2 linked regions of the Notamacropus eugenii genome follow. The main gene of each other region encodes a partner of the protein of the gene in region 2 in a complex. Links are inferred from orthologs where the notes say so. Each region holds a gene or a part of one and is shown on either strand. Other genes may lie near its edges. The genes, in order: MCFD2 and LMAN1.

Region 1 (11,316 bases), on a different chromosome or scaffold from region 2:
GTTTTAGGGATGAATACAACACTAAGAGGTTTTTTCTCATACACCAAGGGGAAAGATATGGGGGAGGCTAGGAGACAAGAAAGGTAGGCTCCAGTGGTGGCTGTACCACTAACTCACTTAACTTCTCTGGGCCTCAGTTTCCCCATCCATATAATTGAAGATAATAACTGTTATGACTTACCCACTGCCCAGATTTGCTGCTTAGATCAAATAAAATCAGAAACTGGAATATGTTTCAGGAAAAAAATAATGTTCTGGGTGCAGCGACAGCTGCAACTGACAGGCCCAATCTCTAGCACAGGGAAGCCCCCATAACACATACTCTTTGTCCTGCACCATGTTCTTATCCAGGCGAACACCAGCATGGCTATGGCTGTCCACAGGTTCTTCTGCCCCAGCACTCAGGAAGCCAAATGCCCCCAGGAGGCAGCACAGGAGAGTGGCTCTAAGCATCTTCCACAAGCTTAAATACATGTCTAATAAGAGGAGGAAACACAGAGGGTGATAGGAAAGGCATGAATTACACCTAAGATTCCCATAAGGATTTCAGATCCAGTCATCATTCCTGCTAATTCAAAGAGGCAACTGATCCGCTGACATTGGGAGGGAAAGGGGGAAGGAGGGGAGCAGTGCTACAAGAAAGAGTCCTAGGTCTGTCCCCAGCTCAAGGTGTGACTTTAGACTATTTATCTGTCAAACAGGGTCTAACAAGCCCTGGTCTACCTGTCTCATCCAGCTACTGAGATGATCTAATGAATGGCACAACAGATGTGAAACGATTAGGTGCTATGGAGATGGAGGAGCCCAGAGACTTGGCACAGTCTGAGTTGCCAAGAAGTTCCAATCTGCAACAATTAAAGGCAAAAAGTCCCAGGCCTTCAATGAGTCAACCATCTGGTCTGGAGGTGGCAGGTGCATAAACAATCAAAGTGGGCAAACAGCATGAGGTACAAAGGCCCAATGGATGCAATAACTGGGGAGATGGAGGATCACTTTCCAGAGGGGGACCACAGGTCCTGCCGAGACTCCCTGATCCAGACTGTCCTTTGAGTTACAGCATGGGCTGAAGCCTTAAAATGCTCCCCATCTCCCCATCACCCCAAACTCAGCAACGGCAAGGGCAGGGGCATCTGGGGCACAGGAGACATTTGTTCTCCTCATCTTTTGCAAAGAACAGCTACGATCCAAAGGTCACTGTCCTCTGCCTGCTCCATCCCTATCTCCATCCTCACAAGATAGTTTGAGTGGTATTGGGTATATGACCTAAGGGGGTAAGTAACGAGGAAAGTCCTAGGGATAAGACAATATTCAAAAGAACACTCTGTGGTAGCAAAAAGCTGGCAACAAAGTGACTGGAGAATGACATGTAAACAGTAGAAGATTCTTAAGCTAGATGTGGCAAACAGCAAAAACATGGAATTCAGATGAATGTGGAAAGACTAGTATGAAGTGACAGACACAAAGAAAGCTGAACCAAGAGAACGTTTACCACAACTTCAACAGCACAGGTGAAAATAAGACTAAAGGGTGACTTAACATCAGTTAATTACAATGGAACAGTCCCCCCCAAAACTCTAATTTTTTTTTTTTGCAATTATGTAGAACATTTCCATATTAGCCATTTTGTACAAGAAGACTTGAATAAAAGAAAAAAAATGAAAGAAAGTGAAAAATAGCATGCTTCAGTCTGTATTCAATCAGTATCACTTCTTTCTCTGGAGGCGGATAGTATGCTTCATCATTAATCCTTTGGGACTGTCTTGGATCACTGCGTTGCTGAGACCAGCTAAGTCATTCACAGTTCTTCATTCAACAATATTATTATACTGTTGAATACACTTCACTATGCATCAGTTCATGTAAGTCTTTGCAGGTTTTTCCGAAATCACCATGCTTGCCATTTCCAATTCTTAGGCATCACAAATAGAGCTGCTGTAAATATTTTTGTACAAACAGGTGCATTTCCCTTTTTGGGGATGTCTTTGGGATACAAACTTAGCAGTGATATCATGGGCATAGTTCCAAATTGCTCTCCAGAATGGTTGGATCAGTTCACAACTCTACCAACAGTGCATTAGTGTCCCAGTTTTCTCACATCCCCTCCAACATTCAATATTTTCCTTTTGTGTCATATTAGCTGCTCTGGTAAAACAACTTATTGTTGTTTTAATTTGAATTTCTCTGACCAATAGTGATTCTGAGCATTTTTTCATGACTATAGATAGCTTTGGTTTCTTTGTCTAAAAACGGCCTGTGGAACAATCCTGATTCCCAAGAACAGATGAAAAGCACTTATCCCTCACCTGACTGGGGAGTAGAGTGTGGGGGTACAGGAGGCTGTGTGTACTCTCAGATTTCATGCTTTGTCAGTTTATTCTGCAGAACTGGTTTTCTCTGTTATAAGGAAGTTTCAATGTAGAGTGGAAGAAACGTTCAAGGAGATAACTAATGTTAAAATAACGTCACCAATTAAAAAGAGGCAGGAAAATTGGAGGGATGGCATCATCCTTGGCAACACTACCCCAGCACTCCCCAGAAAGGCAGGCACCCATTCTGACAGATATGCCTCAAAGTATTGGTGTAGAAGATTCAACACATACACATACACATACACACCTCCACCCCCCCAGGAGTCTCACTGAACACAGAGATACTCTTCATGATGAAATTTGTTCTGTACCATGTGGAATAAGTTTTCATGTTAACTGCCATCTTATTAGAACAAAAAAGTAGGGCAACTAGGTGGCACAGTGGATAGATTGCTAAGCTTGGAGTCAGGGAAGACCTGAGTTCAAATGCAGCCTTCAGACACCTAGCAGTTGTGTGACCCTGAGCAAGTCACTTAATCCTGTGTGGCTTAGTTACCTCATCTGTAAAATGAGCCAGAGAAAGAAATGGCGACTCACTCAAATATCTTTGCCAAGAAAACCCCAAATGGGGTCACAAAGAGTTGGATGTGACTGAAACAAATAAACAGCAACAGCAACAAAAAAAGTGGAAAACAGTCAGATTCTAACTTTGAAAGAGTCAAATCTCAGCAGTGAATGTGCCTCTGCTACATTGTTAGAACTTAAATCACTACTAGGAGTTGCTATTCAGGCCTTATATTTCTGAGAAATGTGAGAAGGGGTAGGAATGCCAGGTCTTCCCAGACATTCCCAATTTGTGCATTCGCTGTCAAATCCAAAAATGCCACAAATAACATTTGGCGTATTTGGCTCAATCCCCCTCACAGCACCTTGCTTAGCTCCCTCTGAAAGCAGTGATTACCATATGTTTCTAACTCTCAGGAACAAGAAGGAACAAACCAACTGAACAGAGGAGAAAACAGAACACCCCAAATCATGCCCTGGCTTGGGTATGACAATTTGAGGGCCAGCATCTTATGATCCAATCCAAGTTCAAAACACTCACTTAAAAAAAGAAGCAACCCTCCTCTGCCTCAAGAGCGAGGCATCATCAACAAGCCAGACCAAGGGCTTAGCATTTGAGCAGAGTGAACTGAATCTGATGGGCTTCAGGATGTGTATTCCTGAACCAGAGAAGGATCTCAAAACCTCCCAAGTGGTGCTGGATTTGGAGTCAAATGACTTGAGTTCAGTTCCTAATACCGCCCTGTACAACCTGTGTGACCTTGGAAAAGTCACTGAGCTTAACTAGACCTATTTTTTTCATCTGTAAAATGAGAGGATGGGACTAGACTCCCTCTGTGGTTCTCTTACAGCTTGAATTCTAGGATCCAGTGATCCTTTGGGCAGCTTTGTCATTCCTGAAGAACACAGTGTCAGAAGGGACTTTGAGATCTTCTCTTACCAACCAAGTTATCATTAGTCAGGTTAGAATTTGAAAGTATTTGCTTACCCTCTTACCTCCCCAAAATGACCATGATCTGTTAGCAGCTGGAAGTAAAAACAACACTCCTGGAGTGCCTTACTGATGCCATGAACATTGTGCCCCAGATAACCTCTACCCAAAGCAAGTGACAAAGGCAAGTTAGTCAATCCACAATTTTGCCCGTGGAGATAGCAGTATCACACCCTTAAGAGTCAGAAAGGACCTAGAACACCACAGAGCCCAATCCCCTCGTTTTACAGAAGGGGAGACTGAGGCAACAAAGAAGATAACTGACTGGCCCAGGGAACCACAGCAGTGTATGTGTTCAAGGTCGGGGGGGGGGGGGGGGGGGGGGGTTTGACCTGGGTCTGGCTGACTCCACATCTACCATACTATTTCACAACACCTCTGCTCTCGGCTGGAATGGGAGAGGAAGCATATGCTTGGTGAGTGGCAGGTAGCCTGTGCTGACTGCTCCCCTCGAAAGGAGGTTTTACAAGCAGGGACCTCGGGAAACAGCCCTGATTCTGACCTTTGTAAGGGTCCCAGCCAAGACCCTGGACAGAGCCCTGAAGCACCAGGGCAGGGGAGGAGGTCAGACGCTGCAGCTGTGCCCGTCCGGCTCCAGGCAGGGAACAAGATGCAGCTGCTGCCTGGGGTGCCAGGGAGGCACAGGCTGCGGCCCTTTGGGGACCCTTCGCTTCACAGCCCAGCGCCCAGGGCCCCCTGCACTCTGGATCCCACCAGCTCAGCGTGCTCTGGGACCTCTGCCCATCCAGACCCCGAGCAGGTCCCCCTGGCCCTCCCCAAGACCCCAGAGGTCCTGATCCCCACTCCCCATCTCCCTCCCCCCGGCTCTCCAGACCCTGCTCCCCAGGTCCCCCTGGCCCTCCCCAAGTCCCCAGAGCCCGGTCCTGCTCCCCACTCCCCATCTCCCTCCCCCCGGCTCTCCAGACCCTGCTCCCCAGGTCCCCCTGGCCCTCCCCAAGTCCCCAGAGCCCGGTCCTGCTCCCCACTCCCCATCTCCCTCCCCCCGGCTCTCCAGACCCTGCTCCCCAGGTCCCCCTGGCCCTCCCCAAGTCCCCAGAGCCCGGTCCTGCTCCCCACTCCCCATCTCCCTCCCCCCGGCTCTCCAGACCCTGCTCCCCAGGTACCCCTGGCCCTCCCCAAGACCCCAGAGCCCGGTCCTGCTCCCCACTCCCCATCTCCCTCCCCCCTGCTCCCCTGGTCACCAGGTCCCCAGGCCTCTCTTTCGCTCCCAGGGTCCTCAGACCCCTCCCTGCCGGGCCGCCTCCCAGTCTCCGCAGTGCCGTGTCTCGGCCCGGTTCACCGGATGCCAGGGCTGGATCTTCCCAGAACCCCTCGGGAGCCCCCCTCTCCGCCCCCGGCTCCGTTAATCTCGGTCCCGTTACCTAGGCTGGGCTGCCCCGCCGGAAGCCGCCTCCAGGCCAGAGTTGGGGAGCCCGGAGCCCCAGAACCCGGCCCCCCTCAACTCACCCAGGCCGCAGTCAGTGAGCCGGGGTCCGGCAGCCCTGAACGCCGAGCTCACCAGACAGCTCCTCAGGAGTCCCGGTCCCGCGTTCCCGTTTTCTTCCCTCGCTCGCTCCTCCCCTTCGGGAACTCTTTTCCGGCGCATGCGCATTCCGTTACCGCTCGCCCATTGGACACCTCTCCGCCCCGCCTTCTCACTTCCCGGAGCCCAGCTGGTGGCGTCTCTCAGAGCAGTCCACGTGTAATCGGGCTGTGGCGGAGGGGCGGAACCTTCCGCGTCTGCCCCCCAGACCCCGCCCCCGAGGTGAGGCTCCGCCCCCTGACTCCCCTCCCCCATAGAGAGAGACGGGGAGGGAGGAGGGGGGAGGGGGAGAGGGCGCCTAGTTGCCTAGCGACCAAACACGCCAAAGGCCTGGCCTGCGGGGGGCCCCCCAGTGGCCGACCTCAAAACTGCATCTGAGGGAATCTCAAACCTGGGCCTCTATAGACATCGTGAAGATATATTCAATGTTTTCGACAGCCATATGAAAAAAAAGGCTCTAAATTGAGAAAGCTAGAGAAACGCAAATTAAAATAACGCTGAGGGACCACGCTACATCCGTCAGGTTGTCAAAGCTGTCGAAAGAGGAAAATGACCCATGCTGGAGGGGCCGTGGGAAAAGAGTCCTGGAATGCCCCGCTGGTGGAACGGTGAACCGGTCCAACCGTTCTGGAAAGCAGATGGAACAGTGCCCGGAGGTGTGTTCAGGGTGCATGCCTTTGGCTCAGCTGTGCCGCTGGGCGTATGCTCCAAAGAGCATACATTTAAAAAAAGAGGGAAAGGACCCTACGTATATAAATATTCATAGCAGATTTGGGGGGGCAAAGAATTGGGAAGTGAAGGGGTGCCCATCTGCTGGGGACTGGCTCAACAAATTATGGTGTATGATTGTTCTGTAAGAAGCGACTGAGGAAATGGCTTCAGAAAAACCTGGAAAGCCGTGTAGGAACTAATGATCAACTGGGAAAGACTTGTGTGTGTTGGTCCTTCCTTGCTGAAGGAGACCAGGCCTTCAGAGAAATGATGACATGACTTGCCCTGGACTTTGTTCTGAGTGAGGGAGGGCTGTGCAGGTCACCAGCCTCACTTTTCCTCCAGAGCCAGCTGATTCCAGTGACCAGACATTCATCAGGATGACTGGAGATGACCCAGGATGAGGCAATTGGGGTTAAGTGACTTGCCCAAGGTCACACAGCTAGTGAGTGTCAAGTGTCTGAGGTGAGATTTGAACTCAGGTCCTCCTGACTCCTGCATGGTGCTCTATCCACTGCACCACCTAGCTGCCCAACCTACACACTAACCAAAATTCCAAAGAACTCATGATGAAATATACTATCCACATCCAGACAGAGTTGATGGATTCAGTGGACAAATGGAAGCTTATTTTTTTCCTTCCTTTTTTTTTTTGTGGACATAACTAAATGCAGAGATTTGTTTTTCATGCCTGGACATATTTATAATGGGTTTTGTTTTTCTTGATTTCTGGACAGGTGGAAGAGAGGAAAAGGGAAGGAAAAAATTCACAACTGAATACAAAATAAAATTGGATTAAAAAAACAATTAGCACAATGGGACCTTGTATTCCATAGACCATTCAATCCCTTATTCCCTTTACAATGTTGTATTAACTGTGTATATTGTTTTCTTGACTTTGCCTACTCCCCACTGCTTCAGTTCATGTAAGTCTTGCCACATTTTCCTTTATTCATCATATCTATTTTTTTCTACAGGACAGTAATCTGCTATTACATTCACATACCATAATTTGCTTGTCCATTCCCAATCAATAGACACTACTTTGTTTCCAGTTCTCTAACTACTCCAAAAAGTGCTGCTATAAATTTTGGGGGTTTAGTGCATTTAGTGGCTTGTGAAGAAAACACCAAAAATAAGGATCCAGAGTTATGGAAGAAGACGAGGAGGAGGTCTACTTTCACCCTCCACTCCATTCCTGCAACCTAGATTTCCATACCCTGCCCCAACACACACACACACACACACACACACATACACACATACACACACATACACACACATACACACACTGCCCATCCTTCAAGGCCCTGCTTCAAACTTACCTCTTCCAGAAAGCTTTCTGTGGCATCCTCAGGCTAAAATAATTTCTCCTTCCTACTAATTTCTTCAGTGATGACTTTTTCCTGCAGAACGGTTGGGTGACATCCATGAAGAAGGCTAAAGCAGACACTGTGTAAGTGCTCAGAGCCTGGTCAGATATTGAAGACACCCAGCTCACCATGGCATTCCCAGGCCATCGTCAGTCGCCTTGACTTTTGTCCTGCCTCTGCACATTTAGGACTCTGGAAGAGAGAATGAGGCCAACAACTGTGTGCAGCTCTGCTTCACTTAAATCTAATTCATGAGCAAGTCATCGGTCTTATGATGTCATTGGTCCTCTCTGAAAATGAAGGCTGAACAACAACTTCTGCAGAGTGTTGCAGTAAAGGACTAGATCTAGAGTCTAGATGATATGGGCTTGAATCCCACTTTTTTATTTAAAACCTGAATAACCATGGACAAATCACTTCCACCTGTACCCAATACAGGCCTTTGTTTCCTTATCTGTAAAATGAGGGGTGTAATGGACTAGATTGATTTTAATGTCTCTTCCAGCTTGAACAAAAGCTTCTTGGACAAAAGTTTCTTTCCCTATTAAGGGGTTTTTTGAAGGCAGAGACTGTTTTATTTGTCTTTGTAACCCCCACAGAATCAATCACAGAGGTATCCATTGATAGAATTGTAAACCTTGAGGACAAGGATGATTCCATTTTTGTCTTCATATCCTCAGGGTCTAGCGTTAGTAAATGCTTAATAATTAATTGTACAGAGTAGGCACTTAACAACTATTTGGTGATTTGATTCAATATCATTTTGATAAACATACAAAATGCATAGTGAAGGTCAGTCAAGGGGTTCTTCCCAAAAAGCCCAAACTATTTTCAGTGACCCTGAGACAAAGTCTATATAAACAGATGTTGACCTGTGTAGGATTAGCTTACTGGAAATTCATCTCAACTTCAGTTGAGCAATCCTTTTCTTCATTCCATATTGATTCTCCAAAGTCCCCTAATCTCCTTAAGCTTCTAACCTCCCTCTACTCAGATTCACACTTGGCATTCTACTAAGAAGATTGAGATCTTCAGTTAATCAGTTAGCTAATATGTAAGTGCCCTAAAATATTTACTATTTCTTCTACAGGCTTCTTCATGACAAAAAGTACATCAGTATGACTTGGAGTCAGACTAAATGAACTTTCTCTTTTGGCTAATGGAACCCACCAGAGAAACCTCAGATAGTTTGTGCCTTGTGTCCTACAGAGATAGCAGACTCTGGCCCATGGGTCATAGTTTGCCAACCCCTGCCAAATAAACATGGATGCTTTCAGCATACTCTTAAATTCAGTCCCTTGGGGAAAAATTCCAGTTACCCTTGATCTAATTATGGCTTGGACACCTAACATACTAAGACAGTTTGACACTTACAGGCACACAATTTATAATACTATGAGGCAAAGCTGTTTTGTGTACGTGTATGTGTGTATACATATATAAATCATAAAATGGACAATTATTAATCAACAAGCATATATTAAGCACCTCCTTGTGACAGATGCTGTTCTAAGCGCTAGGAAAACAAAAGATTAAATCTCTCCTCTGAATGAGTAAATATTTATATTAAAAAATAAAGAAAATAAATATAAGCTAGTTAAATTCAAGGTGCTTTGGAAGGGAAGTTGCCAGGAGCTGAGGAGTGGTTCAGCTTCCTAAAGAAGCTGGTGCTTCAGTTGTGACTTCAAGAGAAGGATTCTGTGAATGAAACAGGAAGGAATCCATTTCAGGCATTGGGGATGGCTGGTTAAAAGCAAGGAGAAAGGAGATAAGAGTGTGAGGAACAACAAGGAACAGAGAGAGAAGGCTAGTGTGGCTGGCTGGACTTTAGTGTGGGAGGGGACAGTAATGTTCAATGAGGCTTGAGGAATAGATTGGAAGCCAGGTTGTGAATGACTTTAATAGACAAATAAAAAAATTTGTATTTTAAAGTCCATAGCCACTGAAGTTCATTGAGGAGGGTGATTACATGCACTTAAGGAAAATCACTTTTTTCTCCTGTTGTCTGGAAGAGGGACAAGGTTTGTGGCAAGGAGACCAATTAAAGGAGTGTGTTGCAATAATCTAAGTAACCTAAGGTGGTGGCTGTGTGAATGGAAAGAAGAGTTCAGATTCTAAAGAGATTATGAAGGTAAAAATGGCAAGATTTGGCAACCAATTAGATATATGGGGTGAGGAAGAGTGAAGAGACAAGGATAGTGCCAAGGCTGCAAATATGGAAGACTGTAAGAATGGATGGCATTTTGGTGAAATTTTGGAAGAAAAGTGAATTTGGGAAGAGAGATAATGAGTTCTGTTTGGGATATATTGAGTTTCCAGTATTGGGATATATCTGAGTCTCCAGTTTGGAATATCTAGTAGGAGATTGGTGATATATAACTGGAGCTCAGGAGAAAGACAGGGGCTAGATATAAAGATCTATGAAACATATGAATAGCTGTTGCTATTGGTCAGTTGCATCAGACTCTTCAGGACCCCATTTGGGGTTTTCTTGGCAGAGATATTGGAATGGTTTTCTGTTTCCTTCTCCAGTTCATTTACAAATGAGGAAACTGAGGCAAACAGGATTTAGTGACTTTTCTATGAGCATACAGCCAGTAAGTGTCTGATGCCAGATTTGAATTCAAGAAGATGAGTCTTCCTCTGTGCCACCTAGCTGCCCTATAGCACATCACAAGTACTTAATAAATGCTTTTTGACTTGCCTTTTTTTGTTGGACTGTGTCAATGTGTTTTGAGGGATTCGTTTTTCAGTGGTTTCTTTTTTTGTTTGTTCAATGGAGGAAAGGAAATAATGGGAAGGACAGATTAATTTTTTAAAATATTTGTTTCTTGAAAAATAACATTAATAGAGAACAGCTAGATGATGCAGTGGACAGAGTTCAGGACTTGAAGTCAGGAAAATCCGAGTTCAAATCCTGCCTCAGACACATATCAGCATGTAGACACCTTTGTATCTCAGTTTCTTCATTTGTAAAATAAGAATAATAAAAGCAACTCTTTCACTGGGCTATTATTGCAAGGATAAAATGAATTAATATATGTAATGCACCCTGTAAACTTTAAAGTGCTATATCAATGATATTAGTATTATTATAAACAATAAGAAGCATAACTTTTAAAAAGATAAAGAGGGGCAGCCTGAGATAACAGAGTGTATTGGCTAGAATTTCGTACCAGTCATTCTGATCTCAGCTGTGTGACCCCAGACAAATGACTTTACTTCTCTTCTCCTCAGTGTCCTTATCTGCTAAATGAACTAGATAATCTCTAAATTTCCTTCCGATTCTTAAGTTATTTCTGTGATGAATACCAAATGGATAGGGCAGACACCCTGGCACATGGGGAGATCTTAATACATGCTTGTTTTTTGACATAGAGGTTCAGAGGAGAAAAGTGTGGGTTGAGGTCAGCAGGGAAGTTTCATTAGGAAATGGGATGCAAGTTATGACTTGAAGTGTTGGTAGGAGATCAGATGGGAAAGGACATTCTGAGGGGAGGTATTGCCCGTAGGAGCAAAGACATTGTGGGTGTGGGAAGGAACAAGCATTTTTTAGGCTCCTATGTGAGGCATTATGCTAAGCCCTTTTACAAATATTATTTTATTTTATCCTCACAACAACCCAAGGAAGTAGGTACTATTAGGTGCTATTACTAGTAGGTACTATCTCCTTGTTAAAGTTGAGGAAACTGATTCTCACAGAAGTGTAATGACTTGCTTAAAAGGTCACAGCTAGTAAGTGTCTTGGGCCACATTTGAACTCAGATCTTTCTGACTCCAAGGTCAGTGCGTTATTCACTGGATCATCTACCTGCCTCAGACAAG
Region 2 (11,887 bases):
TTCCTTTTACAACACAAATATGGTGTTGATACCTAAACCAGGAAGAGCAAAAGGAGAGAAAGGAAAATAAAGACCAATTTCCTTAATGAATACTGATGCAAAAATTTTAAATAAAACAATAGCAAGGACTACAGCAATGTATCATAAAGATCACACACTAGAATCACGTGGGATTTATACCAGAAATGTAGGTTTGGTTCAATATTAGAAAAACTCTCAGTATAATTGACCATGTCAATAACAATATTAAGAAAAATCATATGATTATCTCAATGGATGCAGAAAAAACTTTTGACAAAATAAAACACTTATTTCTATTTAAAAAAAAAACACCTAGAAAGCATAGGAATAAATGGAGCATTCCTTAAAATGATAAATAGTGTCTATCTAAAACCATCAGCAAGCATTATCAATAATGAAGATAAGCTAGAAGCCTTCCCAATAAGATTCGGAGTGAAGCAAGTCAGTCCATTATCACCACTATTGCTAGGTACAGCAATAAGAGGAGAAAAAGAAATTGAAGGAATTAGACTAGGTAATGAGGAAAAAAAACTATTCCTCTTTGCAGATAGCATGATGATATACTTAAAGAATCCTAGAGAATCAAATAAAAAACTAGTACAAATAATTAACAACTTTAACAAAGTTTCAGGGTATAAAATATAACCACATAGATGATCAACATTAACATATATATATATTTCTAATGAAGTACAGCAAGAGATAGGTTACATTTAAAATAAAGCTAGACAATGTAAAATGCTATCTGGCAAGACAAACTCATGAACTATATGATGAATACAATTGTAAAACACTTTTCATATACACAAAATAAGTCAGATCTGAACAACTTGAAAAATATCAATTGCTCATTGAGTAGGCTTAGCAAATATAATAAAAATGATAATTCCACCTATATTAATTTGTTCCATGCCATACCAATCAAACTATCAAAAATATCTTGTAGAGCTAGAAAATTTTATTCAGAAGAACAAAAACTCACAAATACCAAGGGAATTAAAAAAAAATGTGAAAGAAGGTAGCCTAGCCACACCAGATCTCAAACTATATTATAAAATGGTAATCATCAAAACAATCTGGCACTAAGTAAGAAATAGAGTGGTGGATCTGTGGAATAGATTAGACACACATTACACAGTACCTAATGACCATAGTAATCTAGTGTTTGAAAAATAGTGATTGAGAAATCCAAAAATCCAAGCTTTTGGGACAAGAACTTACTATTTGACAACAACTCTTGGGAAAACTAGAAAACAGTTGAGCAGAAACTAGGAATAGACCAACATCTCACACTGCATATCAAAACAAGGTCAAAATATGTACATAATTTAGATATAAAGGAGGACATCATAAACAAATTAAGGAGGCATGGAATAGTTTATTTGTCAGATCTATGGAGGAATTTATGACCAAACAAGATGTAGAGAACATTATAGGATGTAAAATGAATAATTTTGATTACACTAAATTAAAAAGGTTTTTGCACAAACAAAACCAATGCAACCAAGATTAAAAGGAAAGCAGAAAACTGAGGGTGGGGAAAGGAAATTTTTACAGCAAGTTTCTCTGATAAAGCCCTCACTTCTCAAATATATAAAGAACTGAGTTAAATTTATAAGAATACAAATCATTCCCAATTGATAAGTAGACAAAGGAGATGACAGGTAGATTTTAGACAAAGAAATTAAAACTGTTTATAGTCATATAAAAAATGCTCTAAATCACTATTGATTAGAAAAATGCAAATTACAACAACTCTGAGTTACCACCTCACACCTACCAGATTGGCCAAAATGACAAAAAAGGAAGATGATAAATGTTGGAGAGGATGTGGGAAATTTGGGACACTAAAGCACTCATGGTACAGTTGTGAACTGATCCAATCATTCTGGAAAGCAGTTTGGAACTCTGCCCAAAGAGCTACAAAACTGCTTACCCTTTGACCCAGAGTTAAAAAAAAGAAAGGAAAAGAACCTATTTGTACAAAAATATTTGTAGCTGTTCATTTTGTGGTGGCAAAGAATTAGAAATTGAGGAGATGCCCATCAATTAGGAAATGACTGAACAAGCTGTCATGGAATACTACTGTGCTATAAGAAATGATGAACAGGAGACTTTCAGAAAAACCTGGAATGACTTACATGAATCGATGCAAAGTGAAGTAAACAGAACATTGTACATAGTAACACCAATCCAGTATGATGTTCGATTATGAATGACTCAGCTACTCTCAATGATACTGTGATCCAAGATAATTCCAATTCCATAGTGAAAAATTCTATCCACTTCTAATGAAATGACGAAGTCTGAATGCATATTAAAGCGCACTATTTTTTAACTTTTTAAAATGTTTTTTCATCTCTGTCTACATTCACAACATGACCAATATGAAAATCTTTGTATATGTATAATGTGTATTATATTGCTTATCATCTAAGTGTAGGGAGGGGGAAAAGGATGGATGGAAAGAGATAATCTGAAATTCAAATTATGAAAAAGAACATTAAAAATTATTTTTACATGTAATTGGAAAAAATAAAAATATCATTAAAACTTCAAAAGTTTAAAAAAGATAAATAGGTGTTCAATTTTGTTAACAGCCTTTCCCGAATTTATTGATTTAATCATGTGGTTTTTTTATGATTTACGTTATGTGATATATTTATAATCTTCCTTGTTTTGAAACAAATCTACATTCCTGGTATCTTTTGAATCTGGTCAGAATGTACAATCTTTTGAATATGTTGCTATTAGCCTATTTGCAAATATTTTATTTAGAAATTTTGCATTAACGTTCATTAGGGATATTGGCCAATAGTTTTCTTTTTCTGTTTTGTCTTTCCCTAATTTAGGCATCAAGACCATGTTTACATCATAGAAAAAATATCAGAAGGGTGCTTTCCTTTCCTGTTATTGCAATTAGATTATGTAATAATAGAATTAATTTTTCTTTTAATGTTTGATAGAATTCACTTGTAAATCCATCTAGTCCCAGAGTTTTGTTTTTTTTAAACGGAATTCATTTTTGACTTATTCCATTTCTTTTTCTGATACTGGATTATTCAAATACTCTATTATTTTGTGAATCTGAGTATTTTATATTCTTGTAAGTATTCATCCATTTTCTCTAAGTTATCAGTTTACTACTATGTAATTGGACAAAATTGTTTCTGATAATTTGCTTCATACCTTTTTCAATTACTCTGAATTCTCCTTTTTCATTCTTGATAAGAACAATTTTGTTTTCCTCTCTCCTATTAAAGTCAAACTGGTAGATTTTATTTCATTTGCTTTTTTTAAAGCTCCTCGTTTTATTTATCAATATGTTGTATGATATTGTTTTTGCTTTCAGTTTTTATTAACCTCTTCTTTTCAGAATTTTTAGTTTGTTGCTTAGTGGAGATATTTGCTGTTCTTTGTGTTTTAGTTTCATACTCTACTTGTTATTTCTTTCTATAAAAGCATTTAGAAACAAAAATTTTTCCCATAGAACTATTTTAGCTTCATCCCATAAGTTTCATTATCTGATTAGTATAGCTTTCTGTGAAGAAATTATCTATTGTCAGTCATTCAACAAGCATTTATTAAGCTCCTACTCAATACAGGGCACTGCAATAAGCATTGAGGGTGTACAAAAAGACAAAAAGCAATCTGTGCTCTCATAGAGCTCACAGCATAATGGGGGAGACAATATGAAAACAATGTATAAACAAATTTATCAGGATAAATCAGAGGTAATCAACAGAAGGAAGGTTTGTTCCTTAACCTGCCTGTTTTTAAAAATTGTTCATCTTCAACTGGTTTTTCATTCTTTCTTCAATGGCCCTTTGTTGAATAAAAATTTTATTGTGATCAGTAAATGGTGTGTTTCACATTTATGACTTTCTACATTTTTGAGTGCCCTGAATATATGATCATTTTTTGCAAAGGTGCCATGTACAGATGATTAGTGTATAAATTCCTTTCTAGTCCCATACAATAATTGCTAATTGCTATCATCTCTAATTTTAAAAAAATTCTATTCAGGTCCTCACCTTTGTTCTTGTTCTCTTTTTTAAACCTCTTTTTTTATTCTAGACTTAAATATTAAAACTTAAATGCACAATAGAGAAAAGAAAAAGAAACATATTATAAAATTAAACATTGAAACTTAAATATAAAATCTTGTTTCTTTTTTGGTTAGATTTGTTTAAGTATGAAAAGCATACATTGAGATCTCTCACTATTATAGTTTTGCTACCTATTGCTTCTCCCAATCTGATTAACTTTTCTTGTAAATATTGAGATGATATGCAATTTAGTTCATACATATTAAATATTCATATGAATTCATTATTTATGGTACCTTTAAACATAATGTAGTTTCCCTGCTTATTTCTTTTCTTATCATGTCTATATTTAATGTAACCTTATGTGAAACTCATAATTATTATTCTTGATTTTTTGACTTAAGTTGCAGATTAATAGATTTTGTTAAAAGTCTTCCTTATAATTCTATATGAATCTTTATGTTTTAAATGATTTTTTTTTGGTAAATAACATAGTGCTGGATCGTTTTTTAATCCATTATGCTATTTTATGGGTGAGTTGACTTTTTTCACTCACTGACTTTTATGACTATGATTGTTAACTGTATATTTCTCTCCATCCTATCCTTAGACTTTCTTTGTTCTCACCCTCGGGGGGGGGGGGGCGGTGCCAATTCCTGTCATCCTGATCCATATCTGGCCACTGGATCTAGATGACTCTGGAGGAGAAAGTGAGGCTGGTGACTTTGCACAGCCCTGCCTCACTTAAATCCAATTCAGTTGCAGGTCATGGCATCACAGCTTTCTGATGTCATGGTCCTCTGAGAATGAGAGGCAAACACCAACAAACTCTCTCTTTACAAATAAGAAGATGGTAAAAAAAAACCAAAACAGTTTGCCTGATGTGTTCTATAAATGAAATGGTCTGTTTCCACTCTTGCAACTCTTTTACTCCCCTTGTTCTGCCCTAATTCTGGGTTTTTACTCTTTGTTCCTTTTCTTTTAATCTCCCTTTCATTTTCCCTTTTTCTGATATTCAAGTTTATTTTGTTTATGACTATTCCCTTGCCCATTCTGTCCATCCTCTCAAACTTTTTTCCACCGTTCCCTTTTATTCATCTCCTATTTCCTTTTGGGGTTTAATGAATTTCTATCCTAAGATGTGTGTGTGTGTGTGTGTGTGTGAATGCACACAACATGCACAGCGTAAAGTTGTGTTCAATCTTCCTTTATCCAGTTTAGTGGAGTTCATGAAATGGCTATACCATCCATCCCTTTTTCCATATTTAAAAACTATTCATCATAGGCACCTCTTTAATACAACAGTGACTTCTCTCTCCTTCCTCCTCTTTTTTTCCCCCAAAGTATAATTTCTTATCTCCATGAATAATCAGAGGATCCCACTCCTAGGACTATCTCCATTACACAATTATGGTATGCTTAATGCTTAAACTGCATCCAGTTTTAGTTAGAATAGGCTCCCGGAACTCTCCAGAAAGCTTGCTAATGTGGCATATTTATAATTCTACCTTCCTCATCCTGAGTGGGCTCATTTAAAAACATTTTTAAATAGCCAATTTTTAGAAACCTCCTCTTTTGCTACTGGTCCATGCTTCCTGACCCAGTGACAAGATGGCTACTACAGTAGAACTTGTCTGAAAATCTTTTGTAAGCAAGAACACCCAGGAACTCTTAGACATCCACCAGAGAGTACATCCCACCACTTATCCACATCACCATACAGAATGTTACCCCTGGGGATGGGTGAAGACAAGACAGGCCACATGAGACTATTTCTGATTTCATCTATCCACATCCTCCTCTGCTGGTTGTGAATATTAATGAACCATTCTAACCATCCCAGTGTTACTGTAAGTCACTCATCCAAATTCTGCCCCAAGTTTGCATGATGTTCCTATTTTAGTCTTCTAAGACCATCAAAACAAAACTATCTAAAGTTCTTCTGTCATGGTTCTGAGAAATCATTAGTTTCTTATTCCTCTGTTAGCATGTAAACAATTCATCCCCATGTTTTCCTTTCCAGTTAAAAAGATATATTTATCTATGTTTCTTTGGTTCCTGTATTTCCATTTCAAACTGTCTACTCATTTCTTGCCCTTTCATCAGGAATGCTTAGAAATATACTATTTAATTAAAGGTTCATTTTTATCCTTTCATTTTATCCTTAGTTTTGCCAGATAAGTTATTCTTATTTGTAAGTCTCCTTTACCTTTTGAGTGCTGGAATATTATGTTCTAACCTCTTCTCTTCTTTACAGTGGCAGCTACCAAAACTTGGGGTGTATGGAGTGTTCAAGAAAGACTAGCACCTCTGGTGTAAGGGCTTGCTGAGCCCTTTTCAGGGCTGCTCATCCACCTTTGGTGTTCACCTGTCACCTACCTCTCACCTGTGGCTCCAAGAAGCCAACAGGTACAGTGGCCACTTCCCATGAAAACTAACTCAGCAGACGGGCTAATCTAGTTTGAGGGTAACGGTCAGGCCTGAAAATCCATTGGTTAGTTACGAGGATGTCTTAACTAGTATAATACCTGTCTGTACCACTCATTTGTTCCTCACTCTAAACTAGTACCTGAATAAGCCTCAAGGGGCCAAGGTCTCCCAGTGCACCCTGGGTCATCTCCAGTCATCCTGATGAATATCTGGTCACTGGATTCGGATGGCTCTGGAGGAGAAGTGAGGCTGGTGACCTGCACAGCCCTCCCTCCCTCAAAACAAAGTCAAGTGCAAGTCATGTCATTATTTCTCTGATGGCATGGTCCTCTTTGGCAATGAAGGATGGACACAACAACCTGTGAGTAGACCCAGCCTCCTGAATGGGGACCCAGCTAGCGGATAACTCAGCGCCTCCTCTCCTGTCTGTCTCCCCCTCCCTTTCTTTCTCCTTGTCAGGTAAGCAGGGCATAAGTTCAAATCAGGTGAGCTGCCACCATGGAGGGGGCAGGCCGCTCTCCTGACCACGCCCCTTATGACCACGCCCCGCACAGGACCCCGCCCCCAGGTACCCGGCCACGCTGCCGCGGGAAGGAGGTGGTGCCGGTGGGCGTGGCTTCCCCCGGCCCCGAGGAGGGGGCCGGCGGCTCCACCAATCACGGAGCGCCCTGTTGGCCGTTCGCTCGGTGTTTCGTTCCCAGCTGCCGGCGGGCCGCCTTGTCCCAGAATCCAAGATGGCGGGATCCAGGAGCGGGGGTCCCCGGGCCGGGGCCGGGGCCGGGGCCGGGCCGCTTGTCTGCGCGCTGCTGCTGTCTCTGAGCCGTTTCTCCAGCGCCCAAGGAGAGGACGGGGACCCCGCGCTGGGCGGCGGGGCTTCCGCCGCCTCCCTGGCCCCGCCGCCCCATCGCCGGTTCGAGTACAAGTACAGCTTCAAAGGGCCGCATCTGGTGCAGAGCGACGGGACCGTGCCCTTCTGGGCCCACGCGGGGAGTAAGTGCGGACCCCAGAACCCGCCCCTCCGCGGCCCCGCTCGGCTACGGCGGGGAAGCCCCCTGGGGGGAGGGGGCGTCGCTCCCCTCCCCCCCCTCCCCGCTGCCCCACCACCCCCCCCCTCCCCCCAGCCCGGCCCTCTGCGGCGCCGCTTCCCCGCTCCCTCCCCACCTCCGCGGGAACCTTTGGTTTCTTGCATCAGGTTTCAGTCCTTCGGTCCCGCCACGTATCGCTCGGGGGATCCCGCCCCCTTTCCCTGCCAGTGGCCGGGCTCCCTGTGCTGGGGGCCGGGCTCCTGCTCGGCGGCTTCTCACTTAACGGGGGGCGAGGCGTGGCTTTTAAGAAGAATTAAATAATCATCCTGAGGGACCATTGGCTTAATTTGTAATGGTTCACTTTATTTTACCCATTTAAGGGCACCGTTCCGAGAAGGGGTCCTTAGGCGCCCCCGGACTTGCAGGGGAGGTGGGGGGGGGGACAGGACGCGCACACCCAGACTTGGGAGCTTTCAGTCCACAAGCGTTCAGTGCTCCGCGCCTTTGCCCAGGCCCTCCCCCAAGTGCACCCTCTCCCATTCCCTTGGGCCTCCTCTGTGCCTCCGACTTGATCCCCCCGTCCCGGTTCCGGCCGCCAGGGCGCCACTTCGGAATTACTTTGTATTTACCGCGTACGTCCTTTGTACTTTAAGTGTTCCTCCTCTTTTCCTTTTAGAACACAAGCTTCTCGAAGGTAGCCGTGGGTTCCTTTAAGGCACGAATCCCTGGTGCTTGGCACATAGTAGCCGCTTGGCACCTGCTCTCTCCACAGAGGCTTGTTGGTTGTGGGGAGAACCCCGCTTGGGGTTAGTGATATAAAAAATTAGGGTGGAAAAAGGGATCCATCCTCTCCTGGAGCACTACGGTCCATAAAGGAGGGAATTTCATTTAAGTCTTACCTTACTTATGATTTATGCCCTCCACGGCACCTGAGATGATTTGTTGGTTTTCGTGGCATTCAGCAAATTCTTTGATATCAGAGAACAGATTTCAGTCTGTGGCTCCTTTAAGGAGTAACTTGGCCCTTTCTTATATTGTAAGGCATGGAACTTTATATGGACTCATTTTTTAAAAGAGGATCTTTTTAGACTTTTTTGTAGTTTTGTATACACTTAGGAATTCATAGGATTAGAAATTCAGACATAGTTAGGGATCTCAGGCCATCTAGGACTGCCCCCTCATGCTACAAATGAGGAAACTTACCCTCCCCACCCAGCCAGTTTCTAAGGTGGGATTTGAACCCAGTTTCTCTGACTCCAGAGCCATTGTTCTTCCTACTGTACCCAGCTGCCAAATCATGCTAACTTTATGTCTTCAGTTTTTCGTTTGATCTTATAACCCTCAAGATTTTAAATGTGTTTGGAGTCATTATTTCTAAAGGTGTGTTGTTAAAGCATTTTCTTATGTGAAAGAAAAGTTCTTCAGATTTTAGTAAGAATGGGTCACTATTTACTGATGTGGCAGTCGTGCATTTTATGCAGTAAATTCTGTTTGGTAACTGACCGTCCACTCTGAAAATAAGGATTTTTCACCAAAGTATTTATTGTAGATTGGACTCTGGTTATCATTACTTAATTGTAAATAATTAAACACTATGTAACTTACATATATACTTTTATTTGTAGATTTGTATGCTTTGATCAAAATACAGTACTTCATGGCATTGGTTTCTGAGTTGAGCATATATGCAGGCAGAACCCTTCTGTTGCATTTTAAGGATTAACGTTACAAACTCCTTTAGAGCCTGTCCCTTTTGTATCCCTTCAGCTCAGCATATAGGCAGTCAGTATTTGTTGGATGAAAGACCAGCTTTAGGGGTACAATTTGTTTTTTTGAATGGAGCTAGGTAACAGGCCCACATACAGAATCCATAACCTTGGCTTCATTAGCTTCCCTGTAGTCAGCTGAACTAACCTGCCACAGATTGTTGAGTTGATGTGATTTTCTTTATTAGGGTTTATTTAGTAAACACTGAAATGTGAGATTCAGTGCGATTCCTCAAACATTAAGTGTTTTGTAATGTGTGCCAACACTGGAGCAGATACAACAGTTAAGTGAAGCAATTTCCTGTCCTTGTGGAGCTTATGATTTATTAGACAGATAATACAATGTTTATGAATAACTCTAATACAAAAGAGAATGTCCTAAGAAGAAACAGCATGTTACGGATGACTACATTCTTGAAGTAGTAAAGACCTGCATTCAAATCTTGCCTGTAACTCACAAAAACTTTGTGTCTGTGGTTAAGTCACTTGTCACTGCTCTAATCAGTTTTTCTTTTTTTTTTTTTGTTAAGGTACCAAATTTTATTTTATTTTATTTTATTTTTTTAATTATTTTTTAATGTTTAACAATCACTGCCATACAATTGAGATTTTATCCCCCCCACACCTACCCCCCACTACCCCCCTCCCTCCCCACGACTGCATACAATTCTGTATAGGTTCTACATATACTTTCCTATTGAGTATATTTTCACTATAGTCATGCTATGTAGTCAGACTAAAATAAATGAAAGAAATCATATAACAAATCAAAACATGATACACAAACACATACACATACACAAACATGATCTGCTACATTTTGTGAATGACTTCCATATTTCTTTCTCTGAGTGTGGAAGGCATTTTGCCTTGAGAACCACCATTGGGATTTTTTTTTTTTTATAAGAAGTTCTTGCATTATTACAAAATTCCAAGTCTACCAGAAAAAACTCTCGCACACTGTGGTCGTTGCTGTGCAGAAAGTTCTCCTGGTTCTGCTCCTTTCACTCAGCATCAGGTCATATAAGTCCTTCCAGGCCTCTCTGAAGTCTTCTTTCTAATCAGTTTTTCAAGACAATTAGTTATAAATCAGTGACTGATAAGCCTTGGTGGAAAGAGTTGACAAGCCAGAAAGTCTCTACACTGATGAAATCACAGGTCCAAACCACCCTCTGCAGTCCCTCCCCAAATCCTGTGTGTGTGTGTATACATAGATTTTTGGTGTGTGCGTATTTGTTTTTCTGTGTGTATTTGGTCTAAGCTATCTAAGGAAGAAAAAAGATAATTTCTTATTGGGATGAGAGTAGGCAATCAGGGGAGGTTGCATGGCATTTGATCTAAGTATTGAAAGATAAGGAGGATGTCATTATATAGAACTTGGTTGAGGACAGAAGACAGAGGTATGCCATTAATCACAGGGAAACTGTGAGGAAGGGAAATGTAAGTATGGAATATTTTGGATTTTGGTCCCAATTCTAATCCTGGGAATCACTTTTATGAATGTCAACCGTATTAACTCGCAGCGTACATAGATTCGTAGACATACATAGACTGTTAAAATGAAAGGTATTTTAAAGATCATCTGGTTTACCTTCTTTGCAGTCTTTATATACATTTAAATTTCTAAACCCCTTCTTTCTCTCTTTTCACCTTTAAGTACAATGTAAGAGTTGGGAAATTAGATGAGTAGAGTTTGAAGATCTTTTATTACAAATTTTTTTAAAAACCCATAATGTATGTGTCTCTAATTTAATTTCTCTTCCTTTGTGCCCTTAATATTCTACCACTGTAGGAGGCAGAACTGGTTTGATTAAGTTCCCGATATGGTGTTTTGTGCCAGTGAGTTCAGTGAAGGGTAATGGTAACAATGAAGAATATCCAACCTTGTCCAATTGTTTTAACTTTTCTTTTCCTTAATATTCCCATCTGTGTTTACCCCATAGTAATAGATTTGGCTTGGACTGTTGTCTGTCTTCATATAGATCAAATCACAGAATTTAATGCCAGAAGGAACCTTAGAGACCATCTATTGTAATATGAATGTTAGAGATAAGATAACTGAGATTCAGAGAGGTTATGACTTGTTCAGGGTCATATAGTCAGTAATAGAGTCTTGACCTCCAGCCCAGCGTTCTTTTCCATATAGCACGGTACTTCCCTGTTTGAACTTGGAAAAAAGAAAGAATAATGCTCCTTTCCTTCTTATGGGAGTATTATAGAAAGTCCTTTTGAGATATTCAAAGGATATTATTAAATATAAATCGTGTACAAAGAACCTAACTTCAAACTTTTCCTTTTCAGTTATAATTCTTTATTGTTTCTCCCTAAGAATTTTAAATATATAACTGTAACTTTCTTTAATCATAGGTGTTCAAGCACAAGTCTGACCATGTTACTCCCCTGCGCAGAAACCTTCAGTGGCCCTGTTACTTCTAGGGTGAAATATAGTAGTTGGACATGTAATATCCCTCATGGTCTAGTCCTAACCTACCTTTCTAGGCTTGTTTCACAACTTTCACATATCCAGTCTCTTGCCAAGTTTTATCATTCCTACCTTTACAGCATCGTTTTTATAATTCCCTTTGTCTCTCCATGA

Evidence for each region.
Region 1: the proteins of LMAN1 (region 2) and MCFD2 are in contact, whole or in part, in a cryo-EM structure (PDB 8JP5), measured with the Homo sapiens proteins. The link is inferred for Notamacropus eugenii from reciprocal best matches to the Homo sapiens genes LMAN1 and MCFD2. Residues at the interface, in NP_005561.1 of Homo sapiens: His43, Arg44, Arg45, Phe46, Tyr48, Lys49, Ser51, Phe52, Lys53, Pro55, His56, Gln59, Ser60, Asp61, Val64, Pro65, Phe66, Trp67, Lys96, Phe265, Glu273, Lys279, Glu280, Ile281, Glu285, Lys286, Tyr289, Glu292, Phe293, Phe296; in NP_001164977.1 of Homo sapiens: Val59, Ile60, Asn61, Lys62, Gln70, Glu71, Leu74, His75, Phe77, Lys78, Tyr82, Asp83, Asn86, Asp89, Gly90, Leu91, Glu92, Thr95, Thr98, His99, Val100, Leu111, Glu114, Leu117, Ile118, Ile121, Asp122, Leu125, Asp129, Lys130.

The regions. Positions count from the first base shown.
Region 1 is NC_092872.1:661,874,606-661,885,921, reverse strand, and holds the start of MCFD2 (multiple coagulation factor deficiency protein 2), read right to left. Parts: upstream 5,548-11,316; 5' UTR 5,477-5,547; coding exon 5,332-5,476; exon of another isoform or gene 5,247-5,331; intron 2,395-5,246; exon of another isoform or gene 2,304-2,394; intron 477-2,303; coding exon 323-476; intron 1-322. UniProt on the Homo sapiens protein: The MCFD2-LMAN1 complex forms a specific cargo receptor for the ER-to-Golgi transport of selected proteins. Plays a role in the secretion of coagulation factors.
Region 2 is NC_092875.1:430,480,853-430,492,739, forward strand, and holds the start of LMAN1 (protein ERGIC-53), read left to right. Parts: upstream 1-7,182; 5' UTR 7,183-7,234; coding exon 7,235-7,490; intron 7,491-11,887. UniProt on the Homo sapiens protein: Mannose-specific lectin. May recognize sugar residues of glycoproteins, glycolipids, or glycosylphosphatidyl inositol anchors and may be involved in the sorting or recycling of proteins, lipids, or both.